Styela clava: one gene and its partners. The main gene of each other region encodes a partner of the protein of the gene in region 3 in a complex. Links are inferred from orthologs where the notes say so. Each region holds a gene or a part of one and is shown on either strand. Other genes may lie near its edges. The genes, in order: trafficking protein particle complex subunit 9-like, trafficking protein particle complex subunit 12-like and trafficking protein particle complex subunit 8-like.

The links.
Region 1: trafficking protein particle complex subunit 8-like (region 3) and trafficking protein particle complex subunit 9-like share a complex: the UniProt entries of both Homo sapiens proteins name them as parts of the multisubunit TRAPP (transport protein particle) complex. The link is inferred for Styela clava from reciprocal best matches to the Homo sapiens genes TRAPPC8 and TRAPPC9.
Region 2: trafficking protein particle complex subunit 8-like (region 3) and trafficking protein particle complex subunit 12-like share a complex: the UniProt entries of both Homo sapiens proteins name them as parts of the multisubunit TRAPP (transport protein particle) complex. The link is inferred for Styela clava from reciprocal best matches to the Homo sapiens genes TRAPPC8 and TRAPPC12.

Annotation. Positions count from the first base shown.
Region 1 is NC_135261.1:13,762,239-13,768,864, forward strand, and holds the start of trafficking protein particle complex subunit 9-like, read right to left. Parts: upstream 3,831-6,626; 5' UTR 2,567-3,830; coding exon 1-2,566. UniProt on the Homo sapiens protein: Functions as an activator of NF-kappa-B through increased phosphorylation of the IKK complex. May function in neuronal cells differentiation. May play a role in vesicular transport from endoplasmic reticulum to Golgi.
Region 2 is NC_135264.1:11,783,292-11,789,917, reverse strand, and holds the start of trafficking protein particle complex subunit 12-like, read right to left. Parts: upstream 4,150-6,626; 5' UTR 4,126-4,149; coding exon 3,231-4,125; intron 2,839-3,230; coding exon 2,665-2,838; intron 2,199-2,664; coding exon 2,083-2,198; intron 1,963-2,082; coding exon 1,849-1,962; intron 1,580-1,848; coding exon 1,450-1,579; intron 1,166-1,449; coding exon 1,044-1,165; intron 630-1,043; coding exon 506-629; intron 1-505. Other genes in the region: serine/arginine-rich splicing factor 3-like, read right to left, coding at 5,180-5,734. UniProt on the Homo sapiens protein: Component of the TRAPP complex, which is involved in endoplasmic reticulum to Golgi apparatus trafficking at a very early stage.
Region 3 is NC_135261.1:17,900,671-17,907,296, forward strand, and holds trafficking protein particle complex subunit 8-like, read left to right. Parts: upstream 1-1,765; 5' UTR 1,766-1,873; coding exon 1,874-5,614; 3' UTR 5,615-6,365; downstream 6,366-6,626. UniProt on the Homo sapiens protein: Plays a role in endoplasmic reticulum to Golgi apparatus trafficking at a very early stage. Maintains together with TBC1D14 the cycling pool of ATG9 required for initiation of autophagy. Involved in collagen secretion.

The DNA of each region.
Region 1 (6,626 bases), about 4.1 Mb from region 3:
CCATTTTTTGCATTTGAACTTGACAAACTTTTCCCTCATCACACTCAATTGGTATCATATTGTCATTGCAACCACCTTCACCATCAAAAGATTTGAAATGAATCTCTGCATCATATTGCAATGTATTTTTTAGATGCAAGCACACAAGACAATAATCACAAGATTTTGACTCTAGGCTCTTTACTTCAATAGCTTCAACTACAATACTGACATCAGTTTTTATAACCATTTCAATTTCTGTACATCGCCACCATATATCTTTACCCAAATTTCCTGCATACTTTATCGTAGCCACACACAAAAATTCTTGACACTTCTCAATTTCCAAAACAGTAGTTTTTGGTTCAATGTGCACAGGAATCTGAACAGTTTTCCCAGGAGGGAGTGATACTTGCTTAATATTGTCATCAACATTTATTAATATGTCTTGCATGTTGTGTTTAGTTTTAATTAAAATATTCCAATCACAAATTGGTTGTTTTCCAATGTTGGTAAGATGGAATGGTAAGTTTGTCTTTTCACCAAAATAATATACAATTAAAGGCTTCCCTTCCTCTTCTTTACATTTGTCATCCTTGATGCACTTTAGTAACGGCAAGTCACCAATAACTTGAATCTGTACTTCAGTTGTTTCAATGTTATCATTTTTGTTGAAGTAACATTTTGCATAAACTCCATACATTGAAAATGCATATCCAATAATAGTGACTGTACCTAATTCTACTGGAGTTACTTTAATCCCGACTTCAAAGGATGATTGCGGCGCAATGTTAAAAGTCTGTGGTTGACAATCTATAGCTGAACTGTTTGAATCAAGAATCAGCGAAAATTCTGATATCTTGATACTGCAATGAGAAAGTGGATTAAATACATGTACTATAATCTCGAACATTGTGTTTACACACCATCTAAAACAAATTTTTTTAAGCTCGTGTGTTTGTGACTGTCTAATCGTTGGTGTGTAAATAAAAACACTTTGAGCATCAGATTCAGTTTTAGACTTTGTTGGTCTCATTCCATCATCTTCAAATAAAGGAGAAATCTTAGTTATGACTGGTAAAACATAGAAGTTGAGTTCAGGTGATGTGCTATCGAGTACACTAATATTTTTCTTGACATAATTTTCCAATGCAGAGCAAGTTGCCTTTTCATCAGTTTCAGACAAATAAGGAAACATATTCAAAATCAAATAAAGCAAATAACGAAGTGCAAGACTATGATTATTAATTTTTTCCAAAGAATATACAAGTTCATGTAATATTCTAAGACTAATACTTGGCCATCCATGTCTGTTTTTAAGGTATGGGGAGATGATAGAGTGTTTAGTCGGACATGATATTGTGTTCAATAAAAGTCTGTTGCAAAGTTTCCAATCAGGTTCTTTGATATGATGTGCTACACATTGCATCGCAGCCACTCGTTTGTAAAATGCAGATTTTCTGTAAAATCCTATACTTTTATATAAATCAGCCATCACACTGTATCGTTGTAATCTTTCGGTATCTGAAACATTGAGTGTGATGTAAACAGCATTTTGAATGAATTCTGAAGCTTCTAAAAAGCTTTTAGCCTCAGCAAATACTTTTGTTGCTTTGATACAAGCTTCCATTTCAATAACAGCCAAGTTTTTATATCTGCTATAATGAATAATAGCTTCTCTGTATCGATCCACTAAATCTTTCATTGACGAAATACAAAGCTTTTTAACATCAGGTGCTGCAAAAGACGATATTGGCTTTTTAGAAAGATTTCGGGGGTCAAGGGTGAAATTCACAGAAGATTTCTCAGTTTTCAGACTAGCAAAATGCACCAGGGCTGAAACCACACACAAACCTTCCAAAGCACTTCCTACCCAAACTGTATCATTAATTGGAATCAATATGTCAAGTGCACTGTGATAACATTGTAATGCTTCAGATATTTGTCCCACCAGCAAGTTAACGTCAGCAAGATGCTTATAGTGACGACCAGAACATTTTTTGCGCATCACTTTACTGTCAGACTCATTTTTTTCATCTGGATTTTCAAACGGAGTGGCTATAAGCATTGGTTTTCCACTTCTTTCTTGAGCCATTCGCAAACGTTTTGATTCCAGCTCATAAAAAATTGCTGTGACAAACTGTTTGATATCATAATCCACAGATTTCCATGCATTGTGAGATGAAAATTGAAAAACATCTTGACTGTGGGGACGAATGGTTGTGTCTATTCCAAAGATAATACACCTAGAATGCAATAATCCTGGACTGTACTCCTCTTTCAGTTTATTAAATTTATCCAGGATTAAAGCTGCTTCCATTGGATTAATAGCTTCTCCAATAAATACAATTCCACACACTTGTCTATGTGCCTGTAATGGACCCCAATGGCTATTTTGTGGGGATGCATTATCATCAAATCGAATGTTAATTGTGTACCCAGCATCATTTATCACAAGAGATTTGTAAAGTTCCAATTTCTTCAAGACAAACTGTACTGATGCTGTGTTTATGTTTGCAGCATATTTGACACCAATGAGGATTTGCGAATGATCCAGTGCAGATGTCATATAATTAGCAACGCTCATCTTCTTGTTTTGTAGTAATAAATTATACAGAATATATTCAGTACTTCATATCATTCTGTCATTGAAAAATGAAATTACAAAGTCGCTGCAATACAGCAATATTTCGACCTATGACACTTGTACACAGTTTCAAAAAACACCGGTACCGTACGGTATGTCTGTATGTATATATTAGTCAAAAAAAATGCAGTTCTCATATTCATTATATAAAGTCAGACAGTACGATATATAAATACACTGGTACTAAAGTAGGCTAAACGCCGTAACTGCTTATGACAGTAGGATAAGATTTACATATTTAAATATCGCCTTACAAAAATGTAATATGAAATGAACGCTGTAACAGTGTAACTGCTCAAATTACACCCCCAAAAAATGTGACAATGAAATGTAATGTTCTCTTGCTACAGCATCCTTGCGTAATACGCATACGGATCCACCTGCGCAAAGGCATAAGGAGCAAGGAAAGGTAGTTAGTTTAACGCAACCTCAACTGTTAGTTACAAAAAAATGTGATTCAAGATTTTAATGTAAAAGGTCGAAATTACACCCGTATTGTCTTAAAGTGTCGCCGTCGAAAATGCAAAAAGATGGACGACTCATCTGTTGTCTTGTGAGTTGAGTTGTCCGCCTCCCTTTGTCCCATGCCATGCGGTAAGCATACGGTATTCGTGCAAGCCAGACTTTTATTTTTAGAAAAAAATGAAAATTTGGGTTGTATTTTCAAATCACATTTTTGTTTGACGTTATTGAAGCACTTAGATAAGATTTACATATTTATCCCGGGGGAGAGGAAAGCCGATAAGACGGCTTATCCATATGGCGAACCACAGCCTCTCGTCCGGTTACCATTCCAAGTCGGGTATGGGATTAGTTATATTGTTTGTTTTCGGAAGCATGGACTTGGTGGTGGAGGAAGCCGTAACCGAACCAGCGGTTACGTGAACCACCCAACGACGGCGAGGAGTCCAGCAATCCTCTCGCACATAACCATCCCTGAATGGGATTCGAACCTGCGAATCCACGCAGAGTAAGTAAAGGTGCGGTGGCGAGCGTATTTCTAACGCTTAGCCCGTTGAGCCACACCGCCGCGCCTTACAGCAGTCATTTTCCCACCACATTTGTGTTTGGGGGTATTTAAGCAGTTACGGTGTTTCCTTCACAAGACAAAAAGTGTCATGCTACGCCCACTAGAAGTATGTTAGGTACGAAACTACATGAGACCCAAAGCTGCAAAGGCAATACCGGTACTGGTACCGGTACCGGTATAAATTAAAGCCGTAAGTTACATTATATTCGCTATTCGGCGTTGTGCAACCATTTTTGCATATGTTATTCCTAACCCCCACTTGACCTATGGCATTCAGAAATTACGCCACTACGACACCACAGCACAGCAGTAACGTAAAAATGTCTCCAAACTATACCGGTACCGGTACTAACTCCAGAACTCTGCAACTGCTGAACTTTGCTATTTCTTGGTCGGAGGTGAGTCCAACTCGGATACAATCGGTAATGACGTCACATTGGTCGGAGTCGGAGTCCAACTCGGATCCACTCGGTGATGACGTCACGAACATTGATTTTTTTTTGCAAGATTTCGGTAACCGGGATTATATTAGTTTATTTTTGGACACGAAATGTACATATGCTTTTGTTTTTTCAATTATGTTCTTGTTAATATCTTCAACTACAGGCCAATTGATAATTGGAAAGTTTATGCTGTCGTTAGAAGGCTATTAATTTTATTTCCTCATCAGGCGCGGCGGTGTGGCTCAACGGGCTAAGCGTTAGGAATACGCTCGCCACCGCACCTCTAATTACTCTGCGTGGGTTCGCAGGTTTGAATCCCATGCAGGGATGGTTAGATGCGAGAGGATGGACTCCTCGCCGTCATTGGGTGGTTCACGTAACCGCTGGTCGGTTACGGCTTCCTCCACCATCAATTCCATGCTTCCGAAAACAAACAATACAGTAAAACTAATCCCATACCCGACTTGGAATGGTAACCGGACGAGAGGCCGTGGTTCGCCATAGGGATAAGTCGTCTTATCGGCTTTCCTCTCCCCCGGGATAAATATGTATATCCTATCTTATCCTTATCACTGAATACTTCAGTTACGTCAACCTAGAGCAGGTTTTCCCAAACTGGGGTCCGCGACGACTACATAGGGGGTCCGCAGTGATATTGAGCGACTGAAAAATGTACATTTAACATATAGAGGACTTGCACGGGTCACGTGACTTTGTTACTGAACGGCAATAAAACAAACACGTCCATTTGGCTCCTGTCAGTTGCAAGTCGGATTATACGTTTCCGTTTTGTTTGGCTGTTGAAAATGGTTATTTCGTATTGTTCCGTTAGCTGTACGTATAGTATAGACAACGAAATGGATCTTCATTTATATTCCACTGATTTCAAAAGATCCGGAACGTCGCGCAATGTGGATATCATCTATTGCCTATTGGCAGAACTGCTTGGTGTCAAGTCCAGAAGCCATATTACTTGTGTTTCACTGTTTGCGGACAGCACTTCGTTGATGGTGAGTGATAATGTGGTGATAGTGTGCCGTTATCAATTTTTTCAAATATTCACAAGCTCCCTCATTTCAATGGAAAGCAGATGACAAACTACTGTTATTAGTAGGCTTAGGCGTGGGCCTACTTGCAGTTGCAGACTTGACTTGTGTGAGACAGTAAGGAATTAATAATCAATTGCTATAAGGTATTGTTTCCCTAACTAGCAGGTAATCTATTACTAAGTGTGAAAGGTTGAATAGATAACTAAAGTTTAACACCAGTGGTCATGCAAAAAATAACCAGAATTCAATTGATTCGCCATCTAGGAATACGCTCGCCACCGCCTCTCTGATCACCCTGGTAGTTTCACAGGTTTCAATCCCACGCGCGGATAGTTATGTGCGAGAGGATTGCAGCTCTACTCCCACCGAGGGTGGTTCACATGACCGCTGATCGGTTACGACCATTCCCCACCATCCAAGTCCATGCTTCTGAAAACAAATAACTGGCTCCTCCCCAGATAAATCCTATCCTAATGGTGCTTGTACAACTGATCCAAAATGTCTTTTTATTGTCATTGGTAAAAAAGATATGCTACCCGGAATCAAATTCATTTACGACTAGTGGCTGTGGTGGGATATGGACTTAAATTTCACACTCCTTGATCGTTAGATTTTATGAAAACTCTATCTGTATCCATTATCTTACAGATATGGGTGCGACAATGGAATAGATGGATGGCAAAGTATAAGTTGCAACAAGACCACAGTGGCACAAGACCTCAGCTTGCGTGACTTGATAATACATCCTCAGTATCCATTTATTGATGCTTATCGTAATGACAAAGTAACTTGTGATTACTGTGGATTGGTGGAGATAAAGTGTCCATTGTGCTTTAACGAAAGCAACTTCAAGACGACCCTATCAAGAAAAAAAAAATGTTTCGGTGGGTCTGGTAGTGAAGGTTTTAGTCTAACGTTGGACACCGATACTACAACAAGATACAGTTGCCAATGAAACTTACCGAGGCGTAATATTGCGACTTTGTGATCTGGAAGGAAATTCTGATGGGTAGCCGGCTAGCCGCAACCTTTTGTTCAAAGAATATTATGAGATATGACTTAAGAGTCTAAACTTTTATTTGAAAGGGGTGTAATCCAAGCTAATTTGCAAATGGTATTCATGGTACCAAATGTATCACACACTTTACAGTAATTATAAATTATATTTGAAAAATAAAGCACATCAAAAATGTATTTTTAAAAAAAATTGGTTTTATCTGCAGATACTAGGTTGATATTGAGATTGACCATTTCAATGCTAAATTTTCTTTAGTCAAAAGGCACAATTGATTCGCAAAGATTTGTGAATGCGCACAGTACACCAATTTGTCTAATGTTTTGATTCCATAGGCAGGAGGTTGTGGATCGGTGCTGCTCAGGATGGGATATTTTTGCCTCTAAATGCATATTACGTGTTTCACATGAATCCATCGTGCTCAGATTCGACTGTTTTCAAGGTCTGAAGGCTCCAACAGCCT
Region 2 (6,626 bases), on a different chromosome or scaffold from region 3:
TATTTTCCCCTTTACACTTTGGCAAATTTTTAAAAGTGAAATGTGAAAAAAGTAAGTAATTTATGAAAAAAAGATGATACAACCTTTTTGCGAAGGGAGCATAAAAACATCAGTTGCACACAAGATTACTTTACAGTCTCCTATGTGGCCAACAGCTACATTTGGCTATGAACCTACCTACCTGCAAAATCTACACCCTATGCAAGTCATATCCCCCCCCCCCCCCCCCCCCCCGCCTAAAAACTGCTGCATTTAGGTATGTATAAGTATACTACAACATTTCAAAATACCTTCTTAAGCCTTGTACCAAACATATATAATTTCATAAAAAAGAGCCATTGAAAAGCAATGCCTTCATGCGGGAATGCTGTAGCAAGAATGAAAATGACTATATATACAGTGTATAAAACTCTGAATTCACACCGAATAACAATTTAATATCTAATAATAAATATGTATCAAAAGGAAGCTATATTTTACCTAAATTAATTTCATCCATTCTTACCAATAGAGAACAAAGTTCTGACTTTTCTTTCATTCCAAAGTTTGATGGAAGCTTCGACATCATTGGAATTCAGAACGGTCATTTCCCCAACTTCTGTCTTTCCATCGTTTAAATTTTGTAATATCTGTGTATGACAATAAAAATGATAATATGAGGCAGATGGCAAATTAGGATAATTCTGAAAACATTCGTGATAATATTCGAAAATGGAATACCTAAATTGGGCCATGTTCACAGGATACATACAAGTCAAAATCAATGCAGATAAACAGTGTTTTGATTTGTTTTCTATTTTTACAGTTTTCATGGATTAAATTCAATTCAGAGTTTGAAATATTGGAAATGATGAATTTCTATAGATTAGAATATTCGATTCGTTTAGTAAATTTCTGGTGCTAATGTTTAAACAGTGGGAGATTCTCAGATTCGAATGCATTAAAAGATTATTTTTTGACATATTGAAGTTTGTCATTATATCACATATTTTTGTGCAAAATTTTGTAAAAATACATTTCTGTTTATCAAATAAACTTCTTACCTTATCACAAACATTTAATATTCTGTGCAGACGAGCCAATGATAATTGAGCTCTGTCGACATGACGTGGGAACTCAGCATGGAGAAGTCGAAATGAAAATGGAACCATGGATCCTCGACGACCTAAAAATGGAAAGAAAATTTTATGGAAATCAGTATAAGCTAGAAGAATACTGCAGAAGACCACAGCCACTCCAATAGCCTAGGCACGAGAAGAGCTAATTTGTTCATAATAATATAATCAACCACATAGAAGTCAAACCAATGCAGGGTAATCAGTATGTTGACTACTAACACTTTGAAGGATGCGATGCCCTGTTTTTTTTGGGCACTACCCTCCATCTTGAGCACTACGTTAAGTTAAAGGCATAATTAAATGATCATATATGAATAAAAATAATTCTCACCTGGATAGACATCAGGATAAAATTCATAGTACAAGTCTGCATTGTCGAGATTTTTGAAAGTAGAAATTTCACTTGTAGCCATGTCATATAGTTTTAATTTTGTGAGGATATATATGCGAGTGTACCACAACTACAAACAAAACAACACAAATTAATAAACATATTCAAAATTAGCTAGTAAAGAAATAATGCAATATTAAATTTGCCAATAGTTTTGACTTGCATGAATACTCACTCCGTTTTTATTATTCGGTATAATATTTTTAGCTTTCCATTTGAGTATTGCTTTCATTAGCTCTACTTTATACCATATCATGCCCACAATAAAAATCAGTATCATTGACAGCTTATTGACTTATTAATTTTCTACCAACAGGCTGCAACTAAGTAAAATCAAACCTGTAATGTTTCTGATGTATTGAGTGTCATTCGTGTAACTTGACCAAATCCTTGACCATGAGTTGTTAATAGTTTAGCACACAGGTTTGCAGCAGATCGTAGATTGCCAGATTCCTGTAAAATGAAAAAAAAAACTGACTTCATTATATTCTGCGCCTGATTTTGAAATGTATCAAATTAAAAATTTGGTTAAAATCATAAAATTCCATTCTTGTGCTATGATTGAAAATGTACCATCAGTTTTTTGATTCCATCTTTATTGAGAGTGACATCGTCCATTGTCAGATTGCCACGTTTCACAACATTCTCTGACCCCGTCATTCTTACGACAAGCTCTTTGACTGGATCCTCTACAGAAAAAGGGAACTGTTATTTTATATCACACAAAAATTTTTGTGAGGTTAGAAAATAGGCACAAAACAAGAATACCAATCTACGGTAATTTAAAATTTTTCATATTTATATTTATTCTGGAAAAGCCAACAGTAAGGTGTATTCATGTTATGAATCATGGGCCCCTCATTCAGTTACCAATCTTGGTATGCGAAATGTTGATCAGTTGTTTCACATGCATGAAGCTGTAACTGACCAATGGTTATTATGTGAACCACCTTTTGACAGCAATGACGTCCAGCAAATCGATAGTATATGACTATCCTCCACATGATACGAACCTGCAAACCCACAGGGTTAGGGCAAATTAAGAGAAAAGCCAAATGCCGAAAAAGTTCCAATTTATCATTTTCAAGGGACGGAAAATCATTTTAGAAATTCAAACCTCAATGAAAAACTCCAAATCATACCAATAATACAAACCTAACAATTCACTGGTAGATAATCCTGGTCTAGTAATCTTCTCCATTTCTAAATCAGGAGATTTATGGTTCACAATTGCAGCGGTCAATATGGCTCTAGTGTCTTCACAAGGTAGCCAGGCATCACGTCTTCGATCAAGAACACTGTTACTCAAAGCGGCAGCAAACGGGTCATCTGTGGAAAATTGGGAAAGTATACGCAATTGTTACAACATAATTTTTGATACAGACGATCAAATATAAGACAAACTTTTGCATATGTAAGCAATGTTAGTTCATAATTGATATTTACAATTAGAATAAAACGTAGAATTTATTAAAGCACTTGGCATACCATTTGAAAATAAGATTTTAAGAGAAGTTTTTGAACAAATATCTTATTCTCATCAAGGAGAAAAACCACTAGCAAATGGTAAAAACATTTTGCCAGCTATTGCAAAATATATTAATTATCAGCGGTCACTTCAGATTGAGTAAATTATTTAGATCTGAGCCCAAAAGCTGAAAAGTACTTTATTAACATATAATAAGAATGCAAATACAAGCAGATATTAACCCTTTACTTACCTTCCTCTATTTCTATACCATGTCGTTCAGACACTGGACTTGGAAACAAAGTTTGTTGCTTATCTTGAACAGAGGTGAATAATAAACCAGTAGTTGGAATTTCAGGTTGAATTTCGGTTTCAGTAGCCGTTTGTTGCGTAGATACTTCTTCAGTCTCGTTGATTTCGGTAGTTTTCGATTCTTCATAAGTCATTTTAGATTCTTGTATCGAGGTGTTTTCATTTTCTGAAAGTTGTTTTACATTTGGATCTTCTAATGATAGTTTCTCAATTTCCGTTGAAGCGTCTTCAATGATATCATCCACTTCAATATCGTTTGGTAAATCAGAGATAGCAGATTCTGTGTTCACCATATCATCTGGCGATATTGAAAACGATGGTATTCCTGCCGAAGGCACTGGCTGTGATTCATTTAATAATACATCCTGAGCCATTTTACCTGGGTTTTCAGGAATTTCATCAGATTCTATTAATTCTTCGACAATGAATGAATCGACTGAGCGATTCAATCGCAGCGTTTCCATTGAAGGGGTTAATTTTATGGATTCTGTCATTGGGGTTGAAATACTGCTATCATCTATGCTCTCAGATGTAAATGAATGATCGTGAGCGGCTTCATCCGCTTTTGCGTCTTCTGAAATTTTCGAAAATATATCATCACCAGATGATGTAGGAATCGAATTGCCACTTCCAAACACATCACACAACTCAGGCTCTTTTGATTCATTTTCTTTAACTTGAACCACGTTTTGTGAATTGGACACGCCAGAAAAATCTTTTTTCAATTCTTTCTGAGATAATGTTGTGTCGATTGACCCATCACTGAAAAGGGTACAAACCGGGATGGGTTCATTCGGTAATTGGTTGTTTTGGACGTCGCCACCTCCATCAGCCATACCTCACAACTATATCTAGACAATTTATATATCTTCTAAAATCACGGCAGTAAGAAGTCAGTGTTAATATTACATGAAAAGTCAGTTATCAGATGTATTCAAAGCTTATCGGACATTACGCAATGGGAATCCAGAAAGTGTATTTATAGAAATAATAAGCTAGCATGTCCAAAATTGAATAGTTCAATGTTTCAAATACATTCTACATTTATATTTTCGAGTAGGCTATTGATATATAATGAGCTGGAAAACGTACTGCAAAAAAATTGATAAAAAGCACTGTAAATTGATAGAAACTAAATTTGGTAATGTAGAATAGATAAGACTGTAAGATAAGCATTGTTTTGATAGATAACCAGTCAAATCCAAATTTGGACATCCCTGATGACAATTATCATAGCGCATACCCTATGAAAAGTGACCTCATCCATTTTAGTTTTGTAATTTTTCATGTTATCCTATTTTAAAAACAAGCCAATGACAGTAACATATTGGACAACAAGCTATGCCAAATGAAAGAGAGAAAGAGACGAATAGTAGCCATTCACTAATTCGAATGGTTGACAGCAAATTCTGCATTGAATTTTCTAAATTCAAAATGACGCAAAAGAAATTAAATTGCTGAACTCTTCAAGATAATTGTGGCACGGTATACTTAGAAATATACAATTAAGTCTTTCCTTAAATTTTCATACAGCATTTCATCGATGAATGATTGTGATCTCGCTCAAACATTAAAGCTACAGTCGTTGGGTTAGATACATCTCTAAAATTATGGCGCAGTACGAAAAAAAACCTTTGAAACCAAGAATTAGATACTTAATATTGGCCGTCAAATTCCACAATAATTCAAGTACGAAAATATTTGTACATAGCAAATCATTAACAAAAAGACAGTATATATACAGTCCAATAAGTCATAACAATCTCCAATCCATATTGAGCTATCCAACATCTGCAAACTTCGCAAAGTTAAACTCTGCGATTTATATTTGACGTTGTTTGGTTCCTTCTTCGAATTAATGGCGTCATTTGTGTTTTTTTGTTTAAATATTCAGCTTCGAGATCTGCTGCGTGAACGAGAACGACTCTGGCGTTTATCTTCAGGCGTTCTGCTTCGAGATCGAGAACGTGAATATTTCGGAGACGGACTTCGGGAACGAGACGGAGAATGAGACCTGGAGCGGGAGTATCTTCTTCTTGGAGATCGAGAACGTGATTTGCCACCTTCCCGACAGTTCCTAGCGATATGTCCAGTTTGATTACATGTATAGCATCGGACTTCTGACATGTCACGTCTCGGTGGTCGATCACTGTAACTGGGTCGAAAATTTCTATTTCTTTTTTGCCCATGTGAAAGTTCAACTTTCGCTCGACGTCCACAAAGCGTTGTTCCATCTAAACTTCTGACAGCGTCTTTAGCATCTCTTGGGTCTTCAAATTCAACGTACGCGAAGCCTGGTGGTTTTCTGGCAACCCATACACTTACTAATCTTCCAAAATGTCCGAATTCAATTTCCAATTCACTTCGTGAAGCTCCATCTCCAAGATTTCCAACGTACACTTTGCAATCGAGTGGAGCACTCGGTCTTCTGTCCTTATATGACATAATAAAGACTTTAATAAAGTTGAACTAGTTAAATTAGTAACTTACAAATACTAATTGGTCATATAACTGATAATGTAAAGTTCTGCATGAATAATACTCAGAAGAACGAACAACTTTTAAGCTATGCTTAAAAGGCACAAAGGAATATTTTTCAGCTTTGGCTGGTATCACAGTACTGCAGTAATACAGATCGTCTTTAGAAAAATGAAAGCTTTTTTAAAATAAAAGGGAATATATTATGTATACACAATACGGTATAAAATAGATGGCAAACCACGGCGGCCTCTCGTCCGGTCCGAGAAAAAAGTGCTGAAAATTCTAACATAACAAACTGACTGTTCCCAGGCAATACTAAACGCGCATTACTTCAAACGTCTGAACGTGATACTTTTTGTAATCCAGATTTTGAAACTCACATTCATATAACGTAATATATTTTTCAACGCTGATGCGGCGAAACTTTCGTCATAAATGGCGCCATCATGGGGCGAGGCATCAATCCTGTGAACAGTCATTTACATCAGACCGATCAGACTACAATAGCAGAATTGTAAACTGGATAAGTCTCTGACTTGGATTTTCAATTGTCCCAATAAAGGCACTGGCCGTATAAGGATGTTAACTACTGTAATATATTTCGTTTCAATATATATATTGAGCGGACGGATGAAAGGTAAACGCAAGAGGCCTCCATCACGTTATTTTGGGCAATAACTCAACTACCCAATGTCGCCGTCCTTTCGCCAAATTGGGACCCAATGCTCTGCGTCAATCAAAGCGCCAGTGTTGCAACGAATTGGGACGCTCCCCTTCAATACTAATGTATCTATTTGTTCGTCCTATTTTTTACACGCTTAAATTTAGATTTTGCACGCATTCTCGGCCGTTTCGC
Region 3 (6,626 bases):
GCATTATTTTACCATTCAATATATACAATACAGGGTGCTGCTTCAGTCTGTCAGAATGTAATATAAGTTACCTACATGTTTCTACTTAAACTTGTGATATACCTTAAAAAATTCTCCCGTTATCTTACTTTACTATTGAAAATATTTTCATTTTTAAAATTTATAAACCATCAATTTTATTAAAAAATTATCTAACCCCTTGCCGCTCACAGGTCTGCAGGTGGACCACTTATATCTAATTCAGTAATTTTAGCGTCGTTAATCACATCGTTACTGCAATTGCAGAATTAAACTAAAGCTCACATAAACCATATCAGGCATAATGAAAATTAAGTTAATACAACTATTTTTTCGGAAACAGAACGTAAAACAGACAAATAACTTGTAAAACTATAAAAAGGAGGAAATGTTTACAACCCTGCTTGAACATCTGTCTGAGCAGCTGCAGAAACTGCGATCATTTCTTATTGGGTATGTTTAAGAGTTGATGTAACAAACAAGGAAATCGATGCCCCAGGAAATCCTAATGTTAAGTAGCTAAGTACAGGTAATAGGGTATTGTTCAGTTGTTACACACTAAATATTGTATTTCATATGATTTTAATAATAGACACTAGAATACGAGGTGTGGCTAAAAAGAAACGAGACTGACGTCACAGATTGCGCAACACGATTAACCATTGGTAATCAACACTTTTACAGTGTGGTGTAATATGTGTTCTTTGTTCAACAGCTTTTTTGACACAATATCGCAATTATTTTTGCTCTTTAGGAGCCATAGGTGAATGTGATTAATTGCTTGTTGAAAAAAAAATTGCCGTGCGAGATCTGATTGAGTTTTTTGGCGATAGGGGGTTCAATTGCAGAATGACGATTGAGCAATGAATTAACATTAAATTTTGTGTCAAACTTGGAAAAATGCATGTCAACTGGGCAACATTTAATCGTTGAGCTTTCTGCTCCTCAGTCAACAGCCTTGGCACCATTTTGGCACTCACCTTTCACAAGCCAAAAGTGTCAACCAAACTGGTGCGAACCGTTTTTTTTTGTCTTTTCCAACTTCGCAATGACGCGAATTGTTGAGCGACGGTCGCTGCGAATCAACTGCCTTTCACAACTGAACTCACAACTGATACCTTTTCGATGTTGGTATCAGTTGTGGAAGTGCAAGGCCTTCCTGACTTCGAATCATCCTCCACATCCTCCCTGCATCCCACAAATCGCTTGTGCCATTCAAAAACTCTTGTTCTGGACATGGAAGAATCTCCATAAACATCACACAATTTCTTCAAAGTCGCAGTCGCCGTTTTTCCAAGTTTGACACAAAATTTAATGTTAATTCATTGCTCAATCGTCATTCTGCAATTGAACCCCCTATCGCCAAAAAACTCAATCAGATCTCGCACGGCAATTTTTTTTTCAACAAGCAATTAATCACATTCACCTATGGCTCCTAAAGAGCAAAAATAATTGCGATATTGTGTCAAAAAAGCTGTTGAACAAAGAACACATATTACACCACACTGTAAAAGTGTTGATTACCAATGGTTAATCGTGTTGCGCAATCTGTGACGTCAGTCTCGTTTCTTTTTAGCCACACCTCGTAGACTTGAAAAAAGCCAAACGGAAATTCTGAGGCCAAACGCGTTTGAAAAAAGCCAAAAATGGCAAATTTGGCGTTAAAAAAGCCAATATGGCAACCCTGTGCAGTATCGTGACTTAGTTTATATAGACTTATACTTATATATCTACAATTTTCGCCAGATTACGCCAATCCTTTTCCTGTTTTCACTGTTCCAACTTTTCCTGTATTCACGGAATATTATATTTGACATGCTTGCTTTATATTTTACTTATAGTCATAAATTATAGAATGGCTGAAAGCTTGAAAAGTACTCATGATTTTATAAAAAGTGCATTTTCAATTCGAGTTGGTGTCCTTTCCAGCCAAGATGCTGAATTTGTCAGCCAGAAGAATAATCTGTCATTTTCTGAACTGATTCAACCATTCTGTACGTTAACAAATGAAGCGAAAATTCAAGGAATTGGTGCTCAAGTATACCGAGCTTATAATGTCCATGTACGCGTGTCAGACATTCGACAAAAATATGCTAGTATCGATAAAAATATTATACGTCAAATGATAGCGGATTTGGTTTCAAAATCAGGTTCCAGTGATAATATACAAACCATATCTGTTCCATGTAAGGAATATGACTTGTCTGTGAATCGTTCATGTCCGTGGATGGATACTTACAGAGATATGATGGTTAAATTCGGACCTCCGCAAGATCATGAGTTTTTGAATCATCATATTGCTTGTATGTTAGTCGTATCATCACTTCATCCAAACCCAATGCAAGAATTTGCGAATCTGAGCCAACTTCAAAATCATATCCAACATGGTGAAAAAAATAACGATTCTTTGAGATGGATGACGCCAAATACATTAAAATATTTTGTTCTTCTTCATGATGCGCAACAAAGCGATGATAGTAAAGCGAAGGAAGTTTTTGCAACATTGCAAGCAACATATGGAACAAAAGTTTGTCATTTTTTATGTATAAACTCCAGGAATGTATCGAACTCCGAGGGTGCGCAAAATTTGCCTGATCCATGGCATCAGTTTATGAATTCTTCAACGTCTTCTCTGAAAAATAATGTAACTGATGTTGCTTATTCTAAAATATCCACAGTGAACGGAACCAATTCTGAAGAAAATCAACCATGGTTCAATGATATCATAAAAAATTCGAAAACGTCTGTCGAAAAAGGGTTTGGATGTTGTCTTACTATGGCTGATCATGATGGTCTGCAATCCTTCATGCATGATTTTATAGTTTCTGCACTTATACCTCATATGGAAAAAACAATAAAAAATATCAACGACCAGCTGTCAGCAAGAAAAGCGTTACATAAATCATTGTTTCGTGCGACAAGAACTTTATTTGGATCTAGTAAATCACCATCTAGTGTTGCTTCCACATCAGGTTATAGTCATGATGCGAATGAATTGCTTTTGAGAAAGATCGCAGATTTGTGTTTTCTGTCACAGATGTACGACCAAGCTTTTTACTTTTATCATAATGCAAAGAAGGATTACACGAACGACCAAGCTTGGTTGTACGCTGCTGGTGCATCTGAGATGGCTGCCACATCCAATTTCATGCAACGCAACACTCAGAAAACTTATCCTTCTCACTACATGGAATCTGCGATAACGATGTACATTGATGTATGTAAAAATGACTACCTTGCCCTTAGATGCTCACTGATACATGCTGAATGTTTACAGTTTCTAGGACAGTTCAATGAAGCAGCATTTTATTTGATAAAAGTCACAAATGAAACAGATGATCTGAGGAGTGCATTACTTTTGGAGCAAGCTGCACATTCTTATCTCAAAATGAAAGAACCGCAGCCTAAAAAGTTTGCATTTCACTTGATCTTAGCAGGTCACCGATTTAGCAAATGTGCCCAAAGAGCACATGCACTGCGTAGCTATAACCTTGCCCTCCAAGTATATCTGGGCCAAGGATGGAGTCTAGCTGAAGATCATATTAATTTTGCCATGGCAAGACAGTCTTTTAACATGAAACATTTATTGGATTCATCGAATTCATTTCGCAGTCTTCTTGTTCAGGAATCTTCTCAACCTTCATCCCAGCAAGCTGCATTTTTTCATGAATTTATTCATATATTTCAACAATGTGAACAGTTAAATGATGCGAAAGTGGAAAATGCAATGTTAGGTTTACCAAAATTACTTGAATCGGAAACGAAAGTTTGTCTCGATCAGAGCGATAATGACTTTACACCGGAATTTAATACCAAGATGTCTAAATTGGTAAATTTACTTTTGGATTCGGAACCTTTACTGCCTGGTACTGTTGTCAGCGGAATGAAATGCTTCTGTAAATCAACTTCTAATGTTAAAAGTCCACAGTTGGCTGTGGGGGAAGTTGTTAATATCGAAGTGACATTTCAAAACTACCTGGATATTCCGATTTGCATGTCGGATATTACAATAAAATGGGATTTCAAGCTGCCTGAAAAAGAAAATTCACAGCTTATTGAAGGTGACATATTTCAATGTAGTTCTGTGCCTATTCTGACCATTCCTCCACTGACTAAGAAAACAGCCCTTTTTACTGCTAAACCTCTTAAACCAGGAGTGCTGACAGCATTGGGGACATCTTATAAATTAGGATTGTCTTCAAGTGATAGTTCAGAAGACACTGAACATGATACTAGCTATTCTGTGAAAGACTATCAACCGTTTAATATTCTTGGTCGGAGATTGAATAAAACGAAAGATGAAAGATGTGGTGTTATGTACGGTACTGATCAAAGATTGAATTTTCATGTTCTCCCTGTTTTGCCAAAAATGTCCGCAACATTTGATAATTTTCCAACCACAATGGTGTGCAATGAAGTTGTCAATACAACAATAAGGCTACAGAATACGGGCAATGTTCAACTTGATATCGTCAAGATACTTGCGAATGACAAAGTTCAGTTTACCATATGCGGTACAAATGGTCACAAGTTTATTTTACCCAATGTTATTACAACCGATTCAAAATCTAAGAAGATTAAATTTACTAATGTGTTGTCAGAGCCTTTATTACCAGGAAAATCTGTGAAAATGGACGTTTGCATTAAAGCACCTGCAACTAGTGGAATTCATCAAGCAGATGCTTTAGTGTACTGTAAATCAAATTGTATTGTTGATGGACCATCGGGTCGTACTTTCTTCATTAGAAATCATATTGAATGTACAGAAGGTGTTGATATTCTGGCTGAATTAATGACTCCTGTGAACCAAGAAAATTTTATAATATCTTTACGGGTACGAAATGCTTCAACGAAAGATTCATGGATGCTTTTTATTGAGGATGTAACATGCTCAAATTCAAGCTGTGTTGTAGAAATAGTGGGTGATAAAAAGCTACCAGCTTTATCAGTAAACAACCATCTATATATGTACCTCAATCTGGCAAAGAAGTTTGATGTTGATTCTGAGAAGCGAGATTTGTACGAGCCCCCTGAAATCATCATTCATTGGAAAGGTGGTTATAATGATGCGTTTATGTACGGCCAACACCAATTGGATTTAAAAGATCTTTTTGAAGGTCTAGGTACATTCTCAACCCCTGAAACTATGCCTGTTAAAATTTCTGATAACATGCCCAAATCAGCAGAGGAATTTTCTCTTCAAACTTTACATCGATTAGTAACATGGAGACTCAGGTATAATTCTACAATAAAACATGATTTTACTGCGAACAGTCTATGTCATACTGATATGACATTAATGGTGTATAATCTCAGCAATTTGAAGCTGCATGTAACCGTCAGTTTGCCGAATGTGGAGGACAATTTTGGAAAACGTCAATCTCATACGGACTTTGCATGGGTTGGTGCTACCGAAGCAAAGAGACTTCTCGCTCCTCACAGTGAAATCAAAGTAAATTTGAAGGCTTGTTTTGCGCGTAGGGGTGTATTTAACGTCAGTGGTGTGAGCGTGACAGCTATTCCGATGCACCTTATGGGAACGACACCTCAAATTCCTCAAAAACCACCTTGTGGATATTTCATAAATATTGAATAGTTGAAAAATTTTAGCAAAACGTTAGGTAAAGTGCAATATACATGTATTCACAGAATTGTCATCTCACAGTTGTTCAAAACGCCGTTTTTGTTATTATATTGAGCCTACTATTAGTTATATATTAATATTGAGCAAGTCCAATGATCAGGATAAAATGTTCAAATCCAATAATCTTGTAAGAGGTATATTCTTTGTTATCAAAACCAATAAGATGGAAAGTTCACACTTCAAGCATACTGAGTAATTTTATTGAAAATTGCATTTATGTACCCTTTCTTGTGAATAGCGAATCTGAATTCTGACTTACCAAATTATTTTAATATTTTCTGCACCATGGTCTGTGTGATTGCATTTATCAATACAAAATGATTTGATTTTAGTTCCCTCATATAAACGAAAATCAAAGTTGCTACTAGGAATTTAATGTTTCCATGAAATTCAGATATTTATAATCCGAATCTGATTTTGTTCGTCAAAATTCCCTCTTTTTGCCAATATTACATGCTGAAAAGGTACCACCCTTGAAATGAAGCATCAACTTTTGTTCCCTCATTCATAGATACGATGATTAAACTTACGCTTGGAATATATATTTATTATTATTAATAGTAATAGTTGTTTTAGCTCTATTTCACATTAGTATCTATTATAATATTAATATGATTGCTTTATTTGATTTCATGCGCAATGAGAAGATGTTGCCTGAAATGCATTGCTTTATCATGTAATCAAAATTTATTTCATAAGTCAATTTTAGGTACTTTTGGTGTGTAGGGGGTTTGTTTTTATAAGTGCAACATAGGTAGAAGAGTGGACAAAATGTCAGATAATGCGCAGGTTGTTCATAGTCTTTCTGACTGACTCAGCCGGACAATCTCATCAATGTTTACCAAATAACTACGAGTTTTCAATGCCCTCTACCTTTTTGTTCAGTAAATTCTACTTCTCTGATAGAATTGATATTAATTCCTTGAAAGTGTCAGTGCAGATGTACAATGACAACATGTGACGT